4 separate regions of the Mus musculus genome follow, and regions 2, 3 and 4 are each reported to be linked to region 1. The links are microRNA targets in miRTarBase. Many come from high-throughput screens and were not tested one by one. Region 1 holds a microRNA gene; each other region holds the end of a gene's coding sequence.

The links. Region 1 holds the annotated microRNA mmu-miR-374c-5p (AUAAUACAACCUGCUAAGUG, at 2,124-2,143, opposite strand). A microRNA usually pairs through its seed, bases 2 to 8, with sites in the 3' UTR of a target mRNA and lowers its output. Matches are read on the target gene's strand: a 7mer-m8 pairs with bases 2 to 8, a 7mer-A1 pairs with bases 2 to 7 and ends in A, and an 8mer does both.
Region 2: the mRNA of Six6 is a reported target of mmu-miR-374c-5p. Seed matches in the 3' UTR shown: 7mer-m8 at 3,047-3,053.
Region 3: miRTarBase lists Ccdc169 as a target of mmu-miR-374c-5p. Seed matches in the 3' UTR shown: 7mer-m8 at 2,932-2,938.
Region 4: miRTarBase lists C2cd3 as a target of mmu-miR-374c-5p. Seed matches in the 3' UTR shown: 8mer at 1,862-1,869.

The regions. Positions count from the first base shown.
Region 1 is chrX:103,570,989-103,575,990 of GRCm38, forward strand. It overlaps Mir374b (microRNA 374b), which reads right to left and starts at 2,166; the gene lies at 2,072-2,166. All of the region lies in intron 9 of Ftx (Ftx transcript, Xist regulator (non-protein coding)), which reads right to left. Mir421 (microRNA 421) reads right to left here and starts at 2,008; the gene lies at 1,933-2,008. It overlaps Mir374c (microRNA 374c), which reads left to right and starts at 2,097; the gene lies at 2,097-2,145.
Region 2 is chr12:72,940,402-72,945,403 of GRCm38, forward strand. Six6 (sine oculis-related homeobox 6) reads left to right here. Exons shown (of 2, transcript NM_011384.5): 1 at 1-226; 2 at 1,226-4,498. The coding sequence ends at 1,394. Among named protein-coding and RNA genes, the nearest start is that of Six6, 3.0 kb to the left of the region's middle.
Region 3 is chr3:55,170,378-55,175,379 of GRCm38, reverse strand. Ccdc169 (coiled-coil domain containing 169) reads right to left here. Exons shown (of 8, transcript NM_177203.3): 8 at 2,444-4,115. The coding sequence ends at 4,016. Among named protein-coding and RNA genes, the nearest start is that of Sohlh2, 9.2 kb to the left of the region's middle.
Region 4 is chr7:100,468,140-100,473,141 of GRCm38, forward strand. It overlaps C2cd3 (C2 calcium-dependent domain containing 3), which reads left to right. Exons shown (of 33, transcript NM_001017985.3): 33 at 1,240-2,020. The coding sequence ends at 1,389. Gm10603 (a long non-coding RNA gene) reads right to left here and starts at 1,241. Exons shown (of 2, transcript XR_001778233.2): 1 at 1-1,241. Ucp3 (uncoupling protein 3 (mitochondrial, proton carrier)) reads left to right here and starts at 4,852. Exons shown (of 7, transcript NM_009464.3): 1 at 4,852-4,955.

The sequences.
Region 1 (5,002 bases):
GAATTCAATGTAGAATAATTGAAAGTCAAGACTTTTCACACCTAAGTTCTACCCTAACCATCCTAAGAGACTTAACCAAGACTGCCAAGGGCCACGATTGTCTTATAAAGCCTAATTCCTACAATATTTTCTTACAGAGCTCCTGTTCTTATATAAAGCTTCTCTAGTTGCCAACATGACATCAGATGGCTGGTATCAGACTAATAAACAAGAATGTTCTGTATTGTAGGAGTAACCATGATAAAGTCTGCATCTACCTTCAAATCCACTGGCCACCCTCTTCGTTCTGACTTGGTATTTTCGTGCTATCTTCTGATATTTGGGCCTGAGGGATTTTTCATTGTTGATGTCTAACACAACAAAGATTTCTGTGTATCTTGTGTATAAGGACATTAATACTGTGAAATAGAATGGTTAATGTAAACAAAATCCTAAGACAGGGCTAGCATGTGACTGAGAACAGGCACCTGTGCTCTATGATAAGGCTAACCACTTGGTGTATGAGGTTCTGTGTGGCTGTGGTTACCTCGGACAGTATTTTCCATTTTTCTCCCTTGTCTAAGCCCCAGGGGCAAATATAAAGCAGGCCAGATTTCTAAAGGACCAGTCATGAAAACAATGATTATTAAATCAGCGTTGAAGTTCAGACACCAGGGTCCTTTCCTCAGGAGCTGGGTCAGTAAAAAGTCGTTTGAGGACGAACTGTGCAGTCCAGCCAGGCTCTGTCAGTTCCCTAGACTCTCTTGTGTGGTTTACCTTCTAAAAACTCAATTCCATCTCTCTATCATCCCAAACAGCGAATGGAAATTCTACATGAGTTGGATGTTTCGTGATACTAGAATGGTTTCTATCTGTGGTGGTGTAACATGCTAATCTTCATCCCTCTATAGTTTATCTTAAAAGATGAATTAGAGAACAGTGCAACTTTCTAATGAACATGTGCCCATGTCTATAATCCTAACAATTGTGAGGCAGCAGCAGGATTGCTACAAGATTGGGGTCTCCTTGATCTTTGTAGGTAGTTACTAGACAGCCAGGACTACCTAGCAAGAAACAAAGAAGGAAAACCACAAATCTCGTGCTTCTTAGAGTCCATGCCAAACCTCAAATCCTTTCACGACCACTCCAAGTTGTCTTCTTCATATGTCTGCCTGCTCCAGTGAAGAGATGGATCCTTTCATAGAAAGCTATTCTAGCAGGGTGTACATTCTGCCCTCTGTGGTGCTTTGAAGGAACACCGTGGCCCTACCTCATGTATTTGAACACTCATATCCCAGGTGGTGGCTACATTTGGGAATGTAATGGGACCTTTCAGAAGGAGAACCTTGCTTGAGGTGTGTCACTAGGGGCAAGACTGGGGTTTTCTACCCTGGTTCCACTTCCTGTTCTCACTTAGCTTACCACACTGAGGCCATGCCTGCTCTGTTACTATATCCTTCTGGAGCTATGAGCAGCAATAAAATTATAAATGGAGGTATGGGGAAAGCGGGTAAAGGAAAATGAATACCAACCATAACAGCACACCCCAGATTTTAAAGACGAAGCTCCTACTCAGTGATCACTGTAGTCCAACCTAGGGAGTAATCGGTAGCGATTATAGTAACAACAACAGAGATGCAACAATGACAAGCAGGCATTTCCAAAACACAGGCATAAATACAGTATTTCATAGAAAATATCACATTTATGGTACATGAGCTATTATCCCTTCCTTCCACACCCTCAGGATAGAAAAGAACCAGATATGGAATCCTTTTTATAAAACACAGTCGAGGCACAATTATCAATCAATTGGAATTGGTTTGAAAGGTAAAATATATCCACTATGATTATACTACACAGAACACAGGAATGAGCTGCAGAAATAAGGACGCTGCGGAGAGCTTGAACGTTGAAGGCCACTGGCAGGAACAAGCTGAGCCCATGGAGATCACAGAGCAGGCGCCCAATTAATGTCTGTTGATGATTCATTTTTTCATTCAACAAACATTTAATGAGGCCTACAATGTGCACCGGATTAGGCACTGTGAGTACAAAGTCACCATCCTTGCCCTTACGGATTAGTTTGATAGACGAGAGCCATAACCTCGGACAATGATAATACAACCTGCTAAGTGCTAGAACACTTAGCAGGTTGTATTATATCCACCCGAGTAGGATTTCTTCAGAGGAACACCACTCCAGGTTGCTGCGCGATCCATGAAGTTCTCCTGATCACCAAGGCCAGCTGTTGTTTCTTGCTCTCCAGGGATGACAGTCACAAGAACTAACATAGCTAGTTATCAGTTAGAATTCGGCTTCAGGTCAACTGTGACCATTCCCCAAACATCCTTTTCTGTGTTTATACAAAAACCTTTATTCAGCTATAACACAAGTTTTCAAAAGCTTTTAACTTAGAACAAAGAAGAAAGGCAATAGATTACTAATCAAGAGCATGAATGGAAGAATCATCGAGTTTCCTACATGGGCTAACTTCACATTAGTGAATCATTAAAAACGTCCATGATCCCTCCCCACAACACCATTGACCATTCAAAAGGTATAATAATAATTAACTTTCTTCTTTTAATTCTTGCATTGCCCGCTCCATCATTAACAGCAACAATAACTAAGATAGCATTGAGTGGACGCAATTAACAAACAGGCCAGCTAATGCCTATGCCCAAACCCTAGAGTCACTGTTTGCATGCACACTTCAGAGCTTCCTTTCCCAAATCTGAACCATTTACTTAAGTAAAATTGTCCTCATTATAAATGCATTATTTGAATAGTAAAGATCAATACGATAGGTCTGAGTAGAAAACATGTTCATAGATTTTGTTGTTTGTTTCAGTCAGGGACTTGTTATGAAACCCAGACTGGACTCAAAGTCAAGATGGTCTTCCTGTATAAGGACCCGAAATGCTGGGATTCTAGGCATGTGCCAACATGCCTTGCTTTATAATGCTTTGAGATCAGAAACCCTAGAGTGGATATTACACATATCTGATGCTTCAAAGTAAAGCAATGAACATTTCAAGTCTCTAAACACTTCAAAAGAAAAATAAAGTTCAGGAGAAAGCCTGCCAGTGACAAGAGACTATTCAGATGAGAATGATGGGGCACCGCTGCTATCTCCGTGTCTTACTGAGGATTGGCAGTTCCTAGATACGGCTCTTCTATGGAGAAGAAACTAAATGTATATCTAAGGAATGAGAGGATGGCAGCTATCCATGACAAAAAATTCCTTCCCTGTAAAACTCTCCTCCATATATCCTACCCCAAACCTCTTAGCGAGTAACTAGTCAGCCTGTAAGGTTTAATCTATATACCTGAATATCTCTCATCTTTGGGACTAATTCAATATCCTGACTACTGAGAGAACTGAATAATAATAATAATAAATGATTTGAACTGTGGACAAACATTTAGATCAACATGAAAAAGTGATCTGAGAGGGAAACAGACTCTTAAAAAACCCCTTGTAGCCCCGACAAAAGTTACTCATGAGTTAAAAGACATTTGTTGGCAGCATTATCAATAAATAATCTTAGCCTGGGGTTTAAGATTATAGGGTAATAAGCACCTTGAAATTGAAGACCCTTAAGGTGTATCTATATTCATAGTTAGAAGTTTAAAATGGACAGACAATCTGGTATAAATCGTCATGTCTCTGAGCCAAGTAGGAAGATGAACAGCAGCTCCAGTGTCTTGAGCCCAATTCTCATCCATACTCAACTAAACACAACCTTGCAGTATAACCCATTTTCTGGCAGTCCCTTAGACAAGGAGCAGAAAATACCTTTAAACGAATTCAAGGCCAATAAGGATGTCTGGATACAAATTTCTCCAACAATATGTTACTGAAAACTTAAGCCTTCAGAACCACTGATTAAAGTTTGCATAAAAGCTACATTACCTAACATAGTAAGAGACTATCAATCTTTCTTTCATTCCTTGTTTACCCTGTTGAGACAGGGTTGCTCGATGTAGCCCTGGCTGTTCAGGAACTGGCTTTGTAGACAAGGCTGGCCTTGGATCATTTCAAGGTAGACAAAGGGAATGTATCCTTGATGTGATTTTCCCATTTACAGATTATGTTTATAAAATACTGTTTGTAATTTTCATTGTCAGCTATTCCAAAAACAAAATGTAGAAGTGAATAATATTGCCTGTTTTTTTTGTGCTAGAGATTAAGCCCTTTGTAACACACATGTTGGGGACATGCTCTACCATGAGCAGGCAACAGGAACATCCTCCAAAATGCTCTATCCCACATACCCAGAGTTCCTGCGCTTGTTTTCTACATATATATTAGATATGCAAGGGTAGACTATAGTCTTCCTGGTGCACAGAATTTTTATGATTGTGCTTAGGTGTTAGATAATTGCCTTTAAAACCTCACTGGAATGCATCAGAAGGCTGTTGTGGTGATCATTAAATGGGAACATATCAAGTGGAGAAACAAAGTTTTACTAGAAAATGGGGACCATCAAAGCGGTTAAGGATTAAAGTTGATTTTCAAGATTAAGGTGTACAGGCCGGGGGTGGTGGTGCACGCCTTTAATCCCAGCACTCGGGAGGCAGAGGCAGGTGGATTTCTGAGTTCAAGGCCAGCCTGGTCTACAGAGTGAGTTCCAGGACAGCCAGGGCTATACAGAGAAACACTGTCTCGAAAAACAAAACAAAACAAAACAAAACAAAACAAAACAAAAAAAAACAAAAACCAAACAAACAAAAAAAAGATTAAGGTGTACAAGAGCAGGACTTGCCCAGCATGTGCAAGGTCCTGGGTTAAAGCCTAAGCACATTTAACCACAAAACACTCTAGGTAGAAGAAAGGGCTGCACGGAACTATGTATTCTCATCTCAAAGACGCTCAAATGGAAAATCTTCAGTATCAATTATCACAAAAAGACAATTATTGGTAAAATATAAGTTATAATCCAACATATATAGCAAATAACACTCGTAATAAGTCTTAAGCATTGTACAAAAAATTAAAGTGTCTTAGAAGAATTCT
Region 2 (5,002 bases), not on the chromosome of region 1:
GGAAGAAGTTCCCGCTGCCGCGGACCATTTGGGATGGCGAACAGAAGACTCACTGCTTCAAGGAGCGCACGCGGCACCTGCTTCGAGAGTGGTACCTTCAGGACCCATATCCCAACCCCAGCAAAAAGCGAGAGCTCGCCCAGGCAACCGGACTGACCCCCACACAGGTGGGCAACTGGTTCAAAAACCGCAGACAAAGAGACCGGGCAGCTGCAGCCAAAAACAGGTCAGTACCAGCAGGCCTCTAGGCTTGGTGCACACCGGGATGGGGCGGGAGGAGGCATTCTTGGCCCTTACCTGGTGTCCAGGGACCCAAATTCAAAGGGAGCTGGGAATGCAGTCTGTCTTGGGTTTATGAGCCCACTGTGTTCTAGATTCCTATGCAGGCTCCTGGTTCCCCACCGTCCCCCCCCCCTGGTTCTTGGGGTTTTGGGGGTCACTGCAGCAGCTGATGTGGGTCACCAAACTAAAATGTCGCTGTAGTTAGGGAAACGGGGGCGGAGGGAGGGAGAAAGATTAAAAGCCCAGGATCAATCAGAAATCCAGAGGCCCAAAGCTAATTTTTACTAGCATGGACCCAGGCTCTCATCAAGTGAAGCCTATTTAGTTAGCTCTATTTTTAAATCCCGGCTGCATCCTTCCCTGATGCTCTGAAAAAGGTTTCAGTTTTCAGAGAGTCTCAGATTCTAAGAGGCAGAAAGACGTGTTTCCTCATGACAACTATCCTGTCTCCACCCAGCAAGCTAGTCGGCCTATGCTTTTCATTCGCCAGCTTTTGGAGCTTGCAACTCAGGCCCAAACTCTTCAAGCATCCTCTAGCCTCAGGCATGACCCATAGGGAGATGTAGTATTAGAAAAGGAATCTCGTATCCTGAAGCCTTATCTGTCCCGCTTTGCGCTGGAGGATTTCTGACAATCCTCCAGTAAATCTCCCAACATTTGGGTGACAAATGAGAAAGATCTGGGGAGGCTAAGGCGGAATTCATAGTGAGCTGAGAAACAAGGAGACAGACATACAGACAGACAGAGAGGGGCAACGGCAGGATTCCGCGAAAGAGCTGTGGTGCATCGGTCCAAACCCGGTCACTTCACCTTCCCCAGCTTGTCAAGGTCTGAATAAGAGTCTTAACAAGGAGCTGGAGGTAGACGGGTCGGAGAAAAGGGGTACAATGTGGCGGCTTGATTTCTTGCTGTGACCAGTGTCCCTTTCTCCCCAACCCTCCAGACTCCAGCAGCAGGTTCTGTCGCAGGGCCCCGGGCGGGTGCTACGCTCGGAGGGTGAGGGAACGCCTGAGGTGTTGGGCGTCGCCTCCAGCCCGGCTGCCAGTCTGTCGAGCAAGGCGGCCACTTCGGCCATCTCCATCACATCCAGCGACAGTGAGTGCGACATCTGAGCTGCCCACTCATCACACTTAGAATCCAGTGTAAAAATGAGATACACAAAATAAAAAAAGAGAGAGAAAGAGAGAGGACAAGACCAGCAAATACGGCGCTGGCAGAAGCCCCGTGGCCAGGGACCCGCGGGCCTAAAGGCTCTAGAAGCGAGAATCCATCGCGACTCTGGGGCATGCGGTGAGGCCTGACCCAATGCTACTTCTCTTCGCATTGCTTTTCCTGAAGGATCTGGCTGCAAAGACTCCTTTGGAACAGAACTGCACTCTGAGAGCCTGCCCTTGAGTCTCCTGCGGGTATTTCACTTCGAAAGGACGCTGTTATATATATGTATAACTTTTGCTTTGAAGGTTTCTTTTTTAAAAAACAAAACAAAACATATATATGCTGTTTATTTACTTATTTAAAAGACTTCCATGATAGGTTTCTCTGTAGCTTGGGGAACTTGCTGTTTTGAATGAGCAAGCTCACGCGTTCTGTGTGAAGAAGCCAAATAATAAAACAACTTGGTGGATAACCTTTCTTAATTAAGAGAGCTGCTATCTCAGATTTTAAAAATCACTCTTATTTCCTTTGCTGGGCACGCAGCATGGAGTCTTATTCAAATTGTCTCTCCAACTTCTCTATATCCTCTGACATCTCAGTATATTTATATTTTAAGCAGCCACAGATAAACCGCTAACTAACCGCCACATCGGATTGTATGAAAATGTATGCATGTGTATACATAAACATATGCACATTGCCATATTAAACCCAGAATTTGGAACATGAACATGCCATCTATGGCAGCGCTCTACATTCGCCACACAGGTGATCATGGTTTGTCCACCTAATCATTTTTATGAAGTGTTAGTGATTTTCAAGAACAATTTTAGAAGACAAATTTTAGACTCAGGTAATGAATCGTATTTTACAAAAATGCCAAGACACGAGGGCTTTATGATTAAAAAGTGTTTCCATTTTGTTTGAGGTACTCTCCCACTCAGAAACTTATGGTCATTCAAGGTAAGCATGTAGCACAGGTAGAATACTTACTAAGTGCTGTAGGTCTTATTAAGACCATTTAAAAAGATAGGAGAGGTTGATACTAACCAGGCTAGCATCTTCCTGCTTCAGAAATGGGTTTTAGTCAACTAAATTATTTTCACCAGGAGAAATACTAAGATAGGAGACAGTATGCAGGCTTTATATTGACCAGAAAGCATGCTACAGAGAAATGACAGGCATTTTCTAAATCAGTGCTCTACATTTAACATGCAAACAATTCATCAGGAAGTTCGTTGCCTTGGGACTAGCCTTCATTAAAATATAAAATATTCTTAGCATGTAATTGTTCTTTGTACATACACACACATATACCACATGCACACATACACACACGTACACACTCTACCACTTTTGCACTAAGAACGTAAATAATATCCATATTATCTAAGATTTTGCTTTGCCTAGTGAAATGGATTGCACATTACAAATTTTAATATTGATCTTTAAATCTCAGCCAGTTAGAGTTCTTTTAATTCACCTCTCACCTGCTAAAAATTTCTGAAGGCAAAAAATGTTAAAGTACCAAACAAATGAAAACTGGAGTTATGAAAGAAAATAGGTGGTCAAGTGGCTATTGGAAGCCCAGGACGTGAGAAAGGGCTGATGTATTACGTGTATGTATGTATGTATGTATGTATGTATGCATGCATGTATGTATATATGTACATTTGTATGTATGTATGTATGAGTGTGTGTTTGAATGTATATATGCATGTATACATATTTGTTTGTATGTCACTTAAGCAGAGTTGGCTACTGTGGGCTTTAAAATTGTCATCACTGAGTCCACTTGTTCCATAGCTAGAAAATTGTTGCAAATTGAAACTCTCATAGCAAAAGATGGACAGGTTTAGGAAGCTTTTGTGGTCAAACAGGTAATTCCCAAGTCAAACAAATACTCTTCAGTGGCTCAAGAAAGCCTTCCATGGTAAAGCTATATCTTTTGATTTCTAAAGTCCCTGTCGATTCTTTGGGTGACAAGGAGCAGTTTGGGCCTCCAGAGGGGGAAAATAAAAGGCATCAAGAATGCAAATATTAAGAAATTGTTCACTTTCCTGGTCATGTGAGTGACATGTCCTAGCGACCTGAAACTGAGTATCTCCTTAATTTTGTGCCTTGGTTGGTGGTGGTGACTCTAACTAGCAGACCTCTGGAGGTTTGGGGTCAGCCTGGTCTACAAGGTGAGTTTCAGACCAACCTTGGCTACACAGTGAGGTTTTGTTTTGTTGTTTTTAAACACAGAGTGTTTCAGAAAGCAACACCATAATTGCACCCGAGGTTCTCCCGCCTCACAATAGGCTAGAATCAGCCTAGCAGGATTGCACTTCAGTGGAAAATTCATGGCTCTCAATCTTATAATCCAGCTCCATCCGAAACTCATTTCAGCTATGAATGATCCAGAGCCAGAAAATGGAGACATTTATTGGCAAAATTTATCTCTTATCTTTGTGATCCCAGGTCAAACAGAAAAGACAGAATGAACTAATTAGTAAAATGATGGACAAGAATTTGAGATTCTAAAAATCCTAACATACTTGCCAGTTTCAAATGTCTGAAACAGATGGAAACACCCACCCTCTCCAGAATTAGAGTAAGGCTGCAGGAACTAAGCTTTCTCCGTATAAAACAATGTTTAATGATACTTACGGAAAAGCAGAAGGCCAAACAGTGAAGGTTTTTAAAGGAGATATACTATTTCCTTAAATTAACAAGCTGCCCAAGAATTACGTTTAAAGTAGTTATAATGCTTCAATAGCATGCAGACTTATTCATCCGATTTCATGTTGAAATCTTGGGGCCACCAACATTGTTTGAAGAATGCTTTTGTATGTTTACCTGAAATCTGATGACACGTAATTGCTTTGTGACTAATACTTGGAATGACCCTAGGTTGGAAATTAGCCCAGATCTTCAAACAGCAATTTACTCAATCACCCGAATCAGCCCATAAACATGTGTTATAAAGATTTTACATTTTTATATCAATTTTATCCTGACCTAGACTGCGTTAAATTCGAGGCAGTGGAAAGGCTCCAATAAAAGTCTCTGAATCGCGGGAACTGTCCACAGAGCAGGTTTTCTTTCTTCTGATTCGCTTGTCACAATTTCCTCAAAAGCAATTAATCCGGCACAGACGAAAGAAGCCGTTTTTACATTTCAACAGACCTGACCCAAGCCGGGATTTTTAACCTCAGCCTCAACTTGGCTCGTCTCTGGCGCCTCACTATTTTCAACTACCCAAAATCTCTCCAAATGCTCGGCTCCTCTCGCCTCCACTGTAACCACCTATCCTGCCGCCACCCCAGCGACCCCCCCCCCCCACCCCGACACCCGTTTGTTTATAAAAATCCGGAGGGAAGAGGGGAGGGGAGCCCAGGCTGGGGGTGGGGAAGGGCTTGCTCTTTGTTTACATTAAACAAATGACAGGCAAAGAGCTCCAGCAAAGTCTTCCCTGACCTCGTTCTCTCTCTCCAATTTTTCACAAAAAGGAAAAAAAAAATATTGTATCCGAAGAGCCGGTGAATGGGGCGGGTGGAGGGGAGTCGCAGCTTCTCGCTCT
Region 3 (5,002 bases), not on the chromosome of region 1:
AACCACCAGGTGAGGAGTAGCATTGCGAATAGAATAAATATGCCGTGTACGATGATCCAGTGACCTGAGAGTCTTCCACGATATGGGGCTACTGCACACCGCGGCTTTGAGACTTGCTTCTTTGGAATGTGTGGTGCCAGCACTTCAGACACTGAAGCAGGAGGATGACCAGTTTAAGGTTAACCCGAGGTATTCTAGTTTGCTTTTCTGTTGCTGTAATACATAGTATTCACCAAAAGCAACTCAGAGAGGAAAGGGTGTATTTATTTCTTTTTTCACACAATCTTCTAGTTCACATTTGAAGAAGGTGCTGGGGGCTAAGCCATCCTTCAGGCAATCAGAACTTCCATGGCTCATTCTCTAAACACACGTGGATGTCAAAAGGTACCTTTAGACCCCTTTTTTAAATCACTGTAATACAGTTTTATTTTATTTATTTGGCTAATATAATTCCATCTATATAGTAGCAGGGGGCTGGAGAAAAGGCTCAGTCCGGAAAGTTCTTGCCTGCCTGAGGACCTGAGCCTGATCCCCAGCATCGACATTAAATGCTTGCAAGGATAAAGCCCAATAAAATTATCAACAGCAATGTAATGCATGACATTCATAAAATGATATAGTGGACAGAAAATGAGATCAGAAATCAGGGGCGGATGTGGGGGGGGAAATCAGTCACAGAAGCAGAGGATATAAATAGAAAAGAAGCACATTAAACCCGTTGTTGTGCTTATAATATATCCAAAACCAGCAAAGAAGATCAGGGTGGGGAGGAGGCACAACCAAGAATGATGATCTTGTGTGCTTTTGTAGGCCAGGCCTAGAAATGACATAGATGTCTTATTGGTCTGGCATGGTGGTACATGTCTTTGGTGCCAGCACTTCAGAAGCTAAGGCAGGAGGATGGCAAGTTTCTGGCTAGGAGTTCTAGCTTACTTTTCTTCTGCTATGATAGAACACTAACAAATTTAGGAGAGGGGAGGGTTTATTTAGTTTACATTCCCATGTCAGAGGCTACCATTGAGAGAAGCCGGGGCTAGAGCCTGAAGTCGAGACCATGAAGAGATGTGGCTCTCTGGCTTGCTCAGCAACATTCCTTACACAGCCCAGGACTGCCTAGGTTTGGCAATGACCAATGGTGGACTAGGCCCACATCTACAAACTGGCTATCCAGAAAGTACCCTGCAGACACTCCCAACAAGATAATCTGATAGAGACTGTTCAACCAGGGGTTCCCTCTTCCTAGATGTGTCCAATTTTAAGCTACATAACATGACACAGTCTCAAGACAAAGACAAAAACAAACAAACATACAACGACCACCAGAGAGAAGGCACAAAAGGGGATGTCTGCTTGATATAGGATCTCATACAATTCTGTACCTGTGGTGTGCTCCTGGACAGTGTTTCTAATACACACAACAGCTCAGTGTTTATGACCTATGCACTGGTAAACAAAGTTCTTCCTGTCCATGAAACATGAGCCTCGGGTGCATTCTTCCGAGAAAGGAGACTGTTCATTGAGCATAAAGCAATCTGGACCACAGTCCACTAGTTTGATCACCAAATACTTTTGTTTTTCTTCAGAACTTGCACAGAGTCAAAGCCCTGTCTCTCCCCTTTATCCAGGTGCAACTCAAAGAAATATAATGGTTGAAGAAACAAAATGGATTGTTAATACTTTGTGTTTTAATATTCTTTCTTTGCTTTAAAAATAGTTTTAATATCAAGTGAATGTGTTCTTCAGTTCTGGCCTTGCAAGAGTGGCAGAGCCAAATTTAGCCATTCACTGTGACTAAATAGAAGGGTAGATAAAAATAGATAAAAGAGTTGTTTGCAGGTGTAAGAGGGGATCCTTGAGAAGGCAGCAAGTCCAGTTGCCTCCTTAGCTCCTCCCCTATACACATCACAGACTTCAGAGAAGGAAGTACCATGGTAACAGGTCCGTTTCCCACATTAGAGGAGACAGAAGCTGGTGGAAGAGGCTGATGGTGAACACAAAGGCCTGTCCAAAAACAGAACCCCAAGTCTGCACAGGATACCACGAGCCCCTACAGGACACCAAGGCATAAATTGCAAAATGGTGAAGCAGAGTGCCTACAGGTCTCCAGGCATCCAGGTCTGGGCCAAGCAGAGCTATGTGTCCTTTGTGTCATTCACGGTAACTTCACTGGGGCCTCAGGCTAGCTATATCTTAACAACCTCACTCTTGGCAGGTTTACTCACTCCAATGGAAGTCTGAGGCGTTAAATAGAACTGTAAGCAATTTAAATGCTCATAGGAATATTGCAATCTGCAATATGATATTATTGATACTCAACATCCAATAAAAACTGTATAGATATATGAAGCAGAATGGGAGACCCAAAGCCAGGAGAAAAATCAGTCTTTAGAAACAAACTTGGAAGAGAAATAAAGAAAGAGAAAATATGTACATTAAAGCCCTATCATGTCAATATTCCATTTTATTAAAATATTTTATTCTTCGATAATTTCACACATGTATACAATGTATTTATTTCATACACACACCAATTCCAAGATCCCATAACCCCTTCCCAACAGCATATCTTTAAATACGTGTGTATACATACACACATATACATCCATATATATGTTTATTCACACACACATCTATTCCATTGAAGCCAGTTAGTGCTGTCCATAAATACATAGCCGTGGGGCCATCTACTGGATCATTCTGAACCTACCAGGGACCACACCCTTAAAAGGACGGACTCTCCCTCTCCTAGCAGACCTTGCTGTCACCAGCTTCTCAGCTAGGGGTGAGGCCCATGTGTCCCTCTGCCACTGGAGCTGGAATGTTGGCTAGCTTGATCTTGAGCAGGTTTTGTGCAGGCAACCATAGCTACTGCAAGTTCATGAGTGCAGCATTATGGTTCTATTATCTACACATACATGTACATATTATGCATAATACATACATACATACATACATACATACATACACACATACATACATACACATAAACCCCTCAGGTGTAAAAGGCACATTACATATAAAAGGAAACAAATGACTTTTTTCATCAGATATAGGTTAAAACACCACTTGCTTAACATGCACAAGAAATTTAAATTCCAATAATTTCTCTCATTTAAATGGGTAAGTTATATGAATCTTCCTGATCTCTACTACAATTAGAAAAAACATTCGAGTCACAAAACACCCTAAACATGAATAAAATTCAATAAAGTTCATAGGTCCTAAAAACAATTTCTTATTCTCCCTCTATTTCCTTCTAGTCTCCAGTATTCCAAACTCCTGCAAAGTTTGGTCCAAAAACTAGACCATTTTTGTGAATTAGTAAATGTCACAAAATGACTTTAATGCCACATACACAGTGGCAGACCCCTGTGACTGAATTTCTAGAAATTTTATAAATTATACAGTTTAGCACAGCCATTTTTCTAGATGTAGGAAATAAACATGAGGTGATAGGATAACCCTAAATCCTCAAGGTTACTGGCGGGGGGGGGGGGGATGGGGGCAAGAACAATGCAGTGCATGGCTGAAGTTATTGATAATATTTTCCTGAAACTTTCATATGCATGTGATCTGGGAATATGTTGAAACCTTGATTTTAGAAAGTTGAACTGAGCATGATGCAATTTAAAATAACAAAAAGGTGGAGATATTATATATAATATATAAAACAATATATAGTTCTAACTAATGGTCAATTTAGAAACCAAATACAACATAAAAGTGCAATCAGAGAATATCAGAAACACTCTACTGAGAGTGCCAGAAGGATGTCAACCTTCGGGTCCCTTCTAAGGTATTGTAAGAACTATAAGCACATGTACTGGATATTTAGGGTTGCTGGAGACCCATGACTTTTATGCAGGCAGAAGAATCAACTTTTGAAAGAGTGAGAGAAGCCGCTCTCCCTCATCTATTTCCTCCCCTGAGGAATGTATTGAACATTAGCTTCCTAAACTGAAGACACTGAATGACGAAAAAGATGGAAAAAATAGAAGTCTGCCCAGCTCTGGAGTCACGGGTTGAGTTTTGGAAGATGGTTTGATCTTGGAACCTTTTTAACTGGTCCTTTCTTGGCATTTGTTGTCTTCTGATTCATGGAATTGTGTCTTCCACTGAAATAAAATAAGCATCGATCATAATTTTTCTGTCACTGCTGTCTGCAATATAAACAGTATCCGCCATATATGAAGAACTATGGTTGACCCATCTCCTCCAGTCTGGAGTAAGGAAACCTTCATCCGCACATGTTCTGCTTACAGCACAGTCTCAGGCAACCATGTCACTGTCTCACTACAGCTTTGGGGCAACCACTGCAAAGGCAGGTACTCAACAGAGGAGTCTCCAGAAGCAGGCGTCGGGTAGCCAATGTGGAAGCCCGTGTCTGAAGAGGGGAAGGGGATCAAGGGCTACTTACCCTGAATTAAAGTCAAGAGCACAGAGAGGCCAAGAAATAAGGTAGGGATAATAAGATGACACTAAAACACAGATTTCTGTTCTTAGATCCCATGGAATCTTCTCTTACTGACTTATCCAGCTTTGTGCGGGTAGCTTCTTTGTGTTCTTCTGTGAACTAGCAGAGGCTGCTTCAGCTGAGGTACTTTTCAAATATATCTTAGAGTGTGGTCTCAGCACAAACAACCAAGTAAAGACCTGTCATTTTCCTCCTAAGCAAGGAAAAACTTTCTCTCCCCCATAAAAGCAAAGAGAAATTGTCAAAAAATAAATAAATAAAATAAAAAGAGTTCCAAAGCAGTTTAGAACTCTAGAAATCAAAAATATGTGTAGCAATTCTCAAGAATGTATAAAACAAAGAAAGTTGGGGACTTGGTGAGAACATTCAGTTGTGTGAAATTTAGTTTCCCCTAGCCCTACACCTGCCCCTTACCTCCAAGAAAACCAACAGCCCATAGCTATGGTAAAACCAGGGGTCAACACACACTACAGGAGCCGCCAATCACTGACTGCAAAGCTCTTCTTCTTTGGCCTTCTCTGGACATGG
Region 4 (5,002 bases), not on the chromosome of region 1:
AACCCAAAGGGTATATCCACAGTAGACCACTACCATTGGTTCTAGTGGAATGAATGAGGCATTTACTGCAGAGGCAGTCTCCTTCCAACCTGATCTAAACCAGATCTTCATGACCCAGTCCTACCCATTCACTGGTCTCATAGCATCCGAGCCCTCGTCTTGACCTGGCCTGCCCGGGGTTGTGTATTGAAGCTCTAGTTCATGCCCTCAGAAGTGCCTGGTCTGGAGCAGAGGGCAATATGGACACTGGCCTCTTGGCCCTCCCCTGGCCTGAGGTGTTACTTTAGAAGGAAGAACTGTGAACCAAAAACAACACCCTTCCTGTTAGCCTAGACCTCCCCAGAACACAGAGCTGTACCTCCAGGCTCTGCCAAGCATCCTAGCTTGACACTGCTTATTCTTGGCCACCAGGAAGGCTTGCCTAAGGGCCTGCTCGGCTTGCCCACCTCCCCCTCAGTGCTTAGAGATCTGGACTGACAGGGATAGTCCTGACTATTTGCCCAGCCCCCTTGGCCATGGTTAGGAAACTAGCACCCAAGCAGCAGAGAGGACACAAGCTCATTCCCCTTACCCCATTCTTTTGGTAGGTCACTGTGTCTTGCCTGTTTTACTCTGAGCTGTGAAGCCAGGATCTGCTGTCATTTCTGCCTCCTGTTGACGTGTATTGTTCTATAGAAAGGAATAATGGGATTTCTAAGTGTGCTCATCCTGAGCCTCTCTAGCCAGGCCTGACCTTTCTTGTTAGCAGGCTCACGGGGTACAAGCTGGAGAGGTGGAGCAGTGTAGTAGGGTCCGTCAGCATGGGAACAAGAAAGATCTACCGGCCTGTGGGGACAGCCTCCGTTTCTTTCTGCACTGGCTCTTCCTGCCTGGCCTCCATCTCTTTCCTAGGGGCCTCATTCTCAGCCCACCAGGCAACTTTGCTATGTAGATCTGAGCCCTTCAGCACAGGAACCTGACAAGATACCAAAAAGGGGAAAGTGGCTGAGCACACGGCTTTGTCTATGGTAGCTGCTCAAGTGGGATTTCCACCTGCCTCAGCTCTGCCACTCAGAGCTGCACGACCTTGAACTAACTAAGTGCACCTGACCTTGTGATGTCATGGCCAGGGTTCCACAAGACAGGGTGTATGAGGTATTTGCAAACCAGGGACCTAGAGAAAATGTTAGCCCAAGGACCAGACTCACCTCTGCAATGCTGTATCCTCAGGACTAATCTAGATGACTTCCTTCTCTCCAGGACAAGAGTGAAGCCACCAGGGGAGCCCTTGCCCAGAGGCCTTGTCGCCCCAGACCTTACTCCATCCCTCCCAACCTTCCTGAGGAAGAGACTCGCAGGATTGCACGGATATTTTCTTCCCAGTATTCCAAAAAGACTGAGGAAACCTGAGGGACGTGGCTACCAGCCAGCCTCTCAGCTCTGTAAAGCTTGCAAGAGACAACAGGCCTGTTTCCCTCAGCATCCTCAGGCCACTAGCATCACCCTATTCCATGGGTATCTTGAGACCTAATCAGCTAAGACCAGAGGAGTGTCCCAAACCACCTAGCAGCTGCCTACCAGGACCTCAGCTTCCTTCTGTAATGAGGTGACTGCTGGAAGTGAGACTCAAGCACCCAAGTGTCCCACCCATCTTCTGACTGTGGGGCCTAAGGAGGCCTCTCTGAGCAGAGAAACCAGTGTCCTTGACACAGCCTACTGCTGACCAGAGCCCACCTTCTGCTTAAATAGGACAGGCTATTTTTGCCATAAATATTGGAAGAAACATGGAATAAGTATGTACATAGCTGAGAAAATTCCAGAGCCCTGTCCAGCTTGTTTGTTTGGGAATGAGGTATTTTATAGATATAAATTATTTTTATGATGTATTAATCAATAGAACAGGGGAATTGCCTCCTTTAAAACTGTATTCGGTTGTCTGAAATTTAACCATGTTTTTAACATAATGTTTGTTTCTACTCAGCTCTGAAATTCATTGCTCTTGCCTTTGTTTTTAATAAAAGTCTGGCATTTGTATTTGTGTACAAGTGTTTTTTGGGTTGGTCACTGGGAAAAGGTGTTGCAGAAAGAAGGATACAGCCATCACTCCACCACCTGCAACATGAGTCGCCATGAGACTTGCTAGTTCTTCCAAGTGTCAGATTGACCCATGTTAGAGGGATGCTAGTGTTCCACTTCTGGTGGTTTGGGCTTTTGCTTGCTTGCTTGGTTTGTCTTTTCCTCTGATGGCCCTTTAAATCTTGCTCAGCACAGTGAAAGTCCAACTAGGATCTGGTCCCCGGTGTGACTCAGGAGGGCACTTCTGTCAGAGCACAGCCACTTGGGCAGCTACCATAGACAAAGCCCTCTGAGGATAACTCTGAAGGGACATAGATGTCCAGTGCCAGCTGGTAGTGAGGCTGAAAGGAGCTACCTGAGGGCCCTGCTTGTCACCCTGTGTGTCATTTCTCTAAATCCTCACAACTCTATGATGCCCCTCCCACAATTACACTCAACACCATGGAAGTCGGATGCATTGCTTCTGTATCGGTACAAAGTGCATCAGGACCGAAGACATACCCCAGAGATAAGGACTCAGACCAAAGCAGGATACAGGCAGTAAACGCCCTGAATTCGGGCGGTCTCAGGCTGCTAAATCCAGGGAGGGATTTCTGGAAGAAACCCGTACTGGGGTAAAGCCCAGAGAATGGTATAGACCAGGTCATGGACAGCTGCAAAGAGAACCAGAGAATGTTCTGGACCATATCAGTGTCCAGCCTGGCTGAGACTGTGGCTCTGGCCTCATCTGGAAGGCACAGACACGTAGACTCTGGCTTCGTATGGTCGCTGTGAAGATCAAATGGGACATTTCTGAAAATGCTTCGCTGGCATTTGGCACATAATGGAAGCTTGAGAAATGTCAGCCCTTCCCACTCTTCCTAAGCACCGGGGTGAATTAGAGGCAAGCTCACTGGCTACCCAGAACGCAGAGCACTCCAGCCTCCCATAAGGGCCATGAACCTTCAGCCAAACCTGCCCCTCAGATCTCTGCTCCTTGAGTGTCACCTTGCAAACCTGCCCAGTCCCTAGCCAGGGGCTCCCCTTGCCCCAGGCCTTGCCCTCGGCCAGAACAGAGCTTCCAGTACCTGGAGTTCCACGTCCCTCGGGGTAAGAAACCTCTAGGTTCCAAGCCTAAGGGGTAAAGCCTAGGGTGAAGAAGATCACTGCCAAATCCTGATCCTGTAAATAACCTGAAGGAGTCAAGTGAGAACAGGGCCACAGGAGGGCACGGGCTGCAGACAAGGTGAAGGTCTGAGACACAGACGACATGCCCAATTTGTTATTTACCAGTCTCTCCCAGTGATAGCTCTGAGGCAACTTGACTTGCCAAGTTGTACAACACATTTGTCACCACAACCAGAATGAACCCTGACTTCCTTATGCATGCCCTCCACAGATGCCTGGAAAGTATTTCTGGTGACCCAGAGACTGTAGCAGCCAACCTTAAAACTCCCAGCAGAGGTTTGACTCTAGCTAGGCCTGAGCTCTCCTCCCTCTGGGTTTCTCCAGAACCTGCTGCCTCTAGTTTGACTTCTACTTGTAGCCCCAGCCCCCACATGGTTCCCACAGTCCTGCCCATGTCCAGATTAATAGTTCCAGACTGAGCTCAAAGCAGTGAGCAGGTCCTGGTCCAAGAAACAGGATAGACAGTCTAGATGTCACAGCACCCACCCTGCCATGGCGCTGCGCTCAAGTTCCAAAATGTCCTCTACCTTCTCTGTCCTACTTATCTCCTCTCCCCTCTCCTTTTAGTTTCCCTTCTATGCCACCTGGCTCCCAACTTCAGCTGTGCCCACCCAGTCTTTAACCTCAGCGCCTGCAGATGGACCAGCCTACGGTGGTTGCTGCAAGGGATTCTGCTCACCCTGCCCCATCTCCGGTCCCAGCATGTCCATGTCATGAGGAATCAGGATTGCAGCTGATAGACCCAAAGTGTGGTATAGGTTACAGGCAAGTCAGGCCTGCAGTGACCTAGCTGTCTGTCCTTGACAGTCAGTTTTCTGTGTAAAGTAAGCATTGACACATGAGGGCTCTACACAGTACGTCAGTGTCTACCGGTACAGTGCAGTGTGTTAACACCACTGTGAAAGAAACCAGCCACAAGAGGCTATACATTCTATATAATCCTACTCAAACAAAGCATCTAGAACAAGCAAATTAAGAAGCAGAATAAAGACGAGTGGTTGCCTGAAGCTGGGGGAAGGGAAAGGGGGTGACTTGTTCTGTTTTTGTCTTTGAGCCATGATGAAAGTGTTCTGAACTAGCATGTAGTAGTTGATCAACCAGACTGTACTAAACACTATTGTGTGCTCTATGTGGGCAAATCACATGCTGTGTACAATACATCTGTTGTCCTTTGTTTTTAAATTTAGGATCCTGCTTCCTAGAGATGTGGGAAATAGAAGCGCTGTGCCTGAAATATCAAGCATATCTTGGCACCAAGATGTCCTCTACCTTCTCTGCCCCGTCTTCTCCTCTCCCCTCTTGAGAATGTCAGGCCTCTAAGAAGTGACACCTGTAACCATTGTATAGGATCCTGGAGAGCCCCTGTCCTAAGAGACCTTGTCCTTTGGGCTCTCAAAGGTGACAAATGCTGTCACACACCTCCTGGCCACCAAGGTAGCTCTCCTCTTGAAAGCTCAAAGGAGCCACATTAAAGAGCCCCAGGTCACGGAAGCTAAACCAGATCTGGAACTCACTGGTCCCCTCCCCGCAGCCTGCCTCTTGTCAAGTGATCAGACTGTCAACTAGCTTCTCAGAATTAGGTTTCAGGTCAGCTGGTGCACAGGGCCAGTGCCGAGCCAGGGACAGCAGAGACAACAGTGAATGGTGAGGCCCGGCCGTCAGATCCTGCTGCTACCTAATGGAGTGGAGCCTTAGGGTGGCCCTGCACTACCCAACCTTGGCTAGACGCACAGGTAAGACCCCATACTCTGCTCTCCTCTCCCTTTTTCCCTTCCATGGA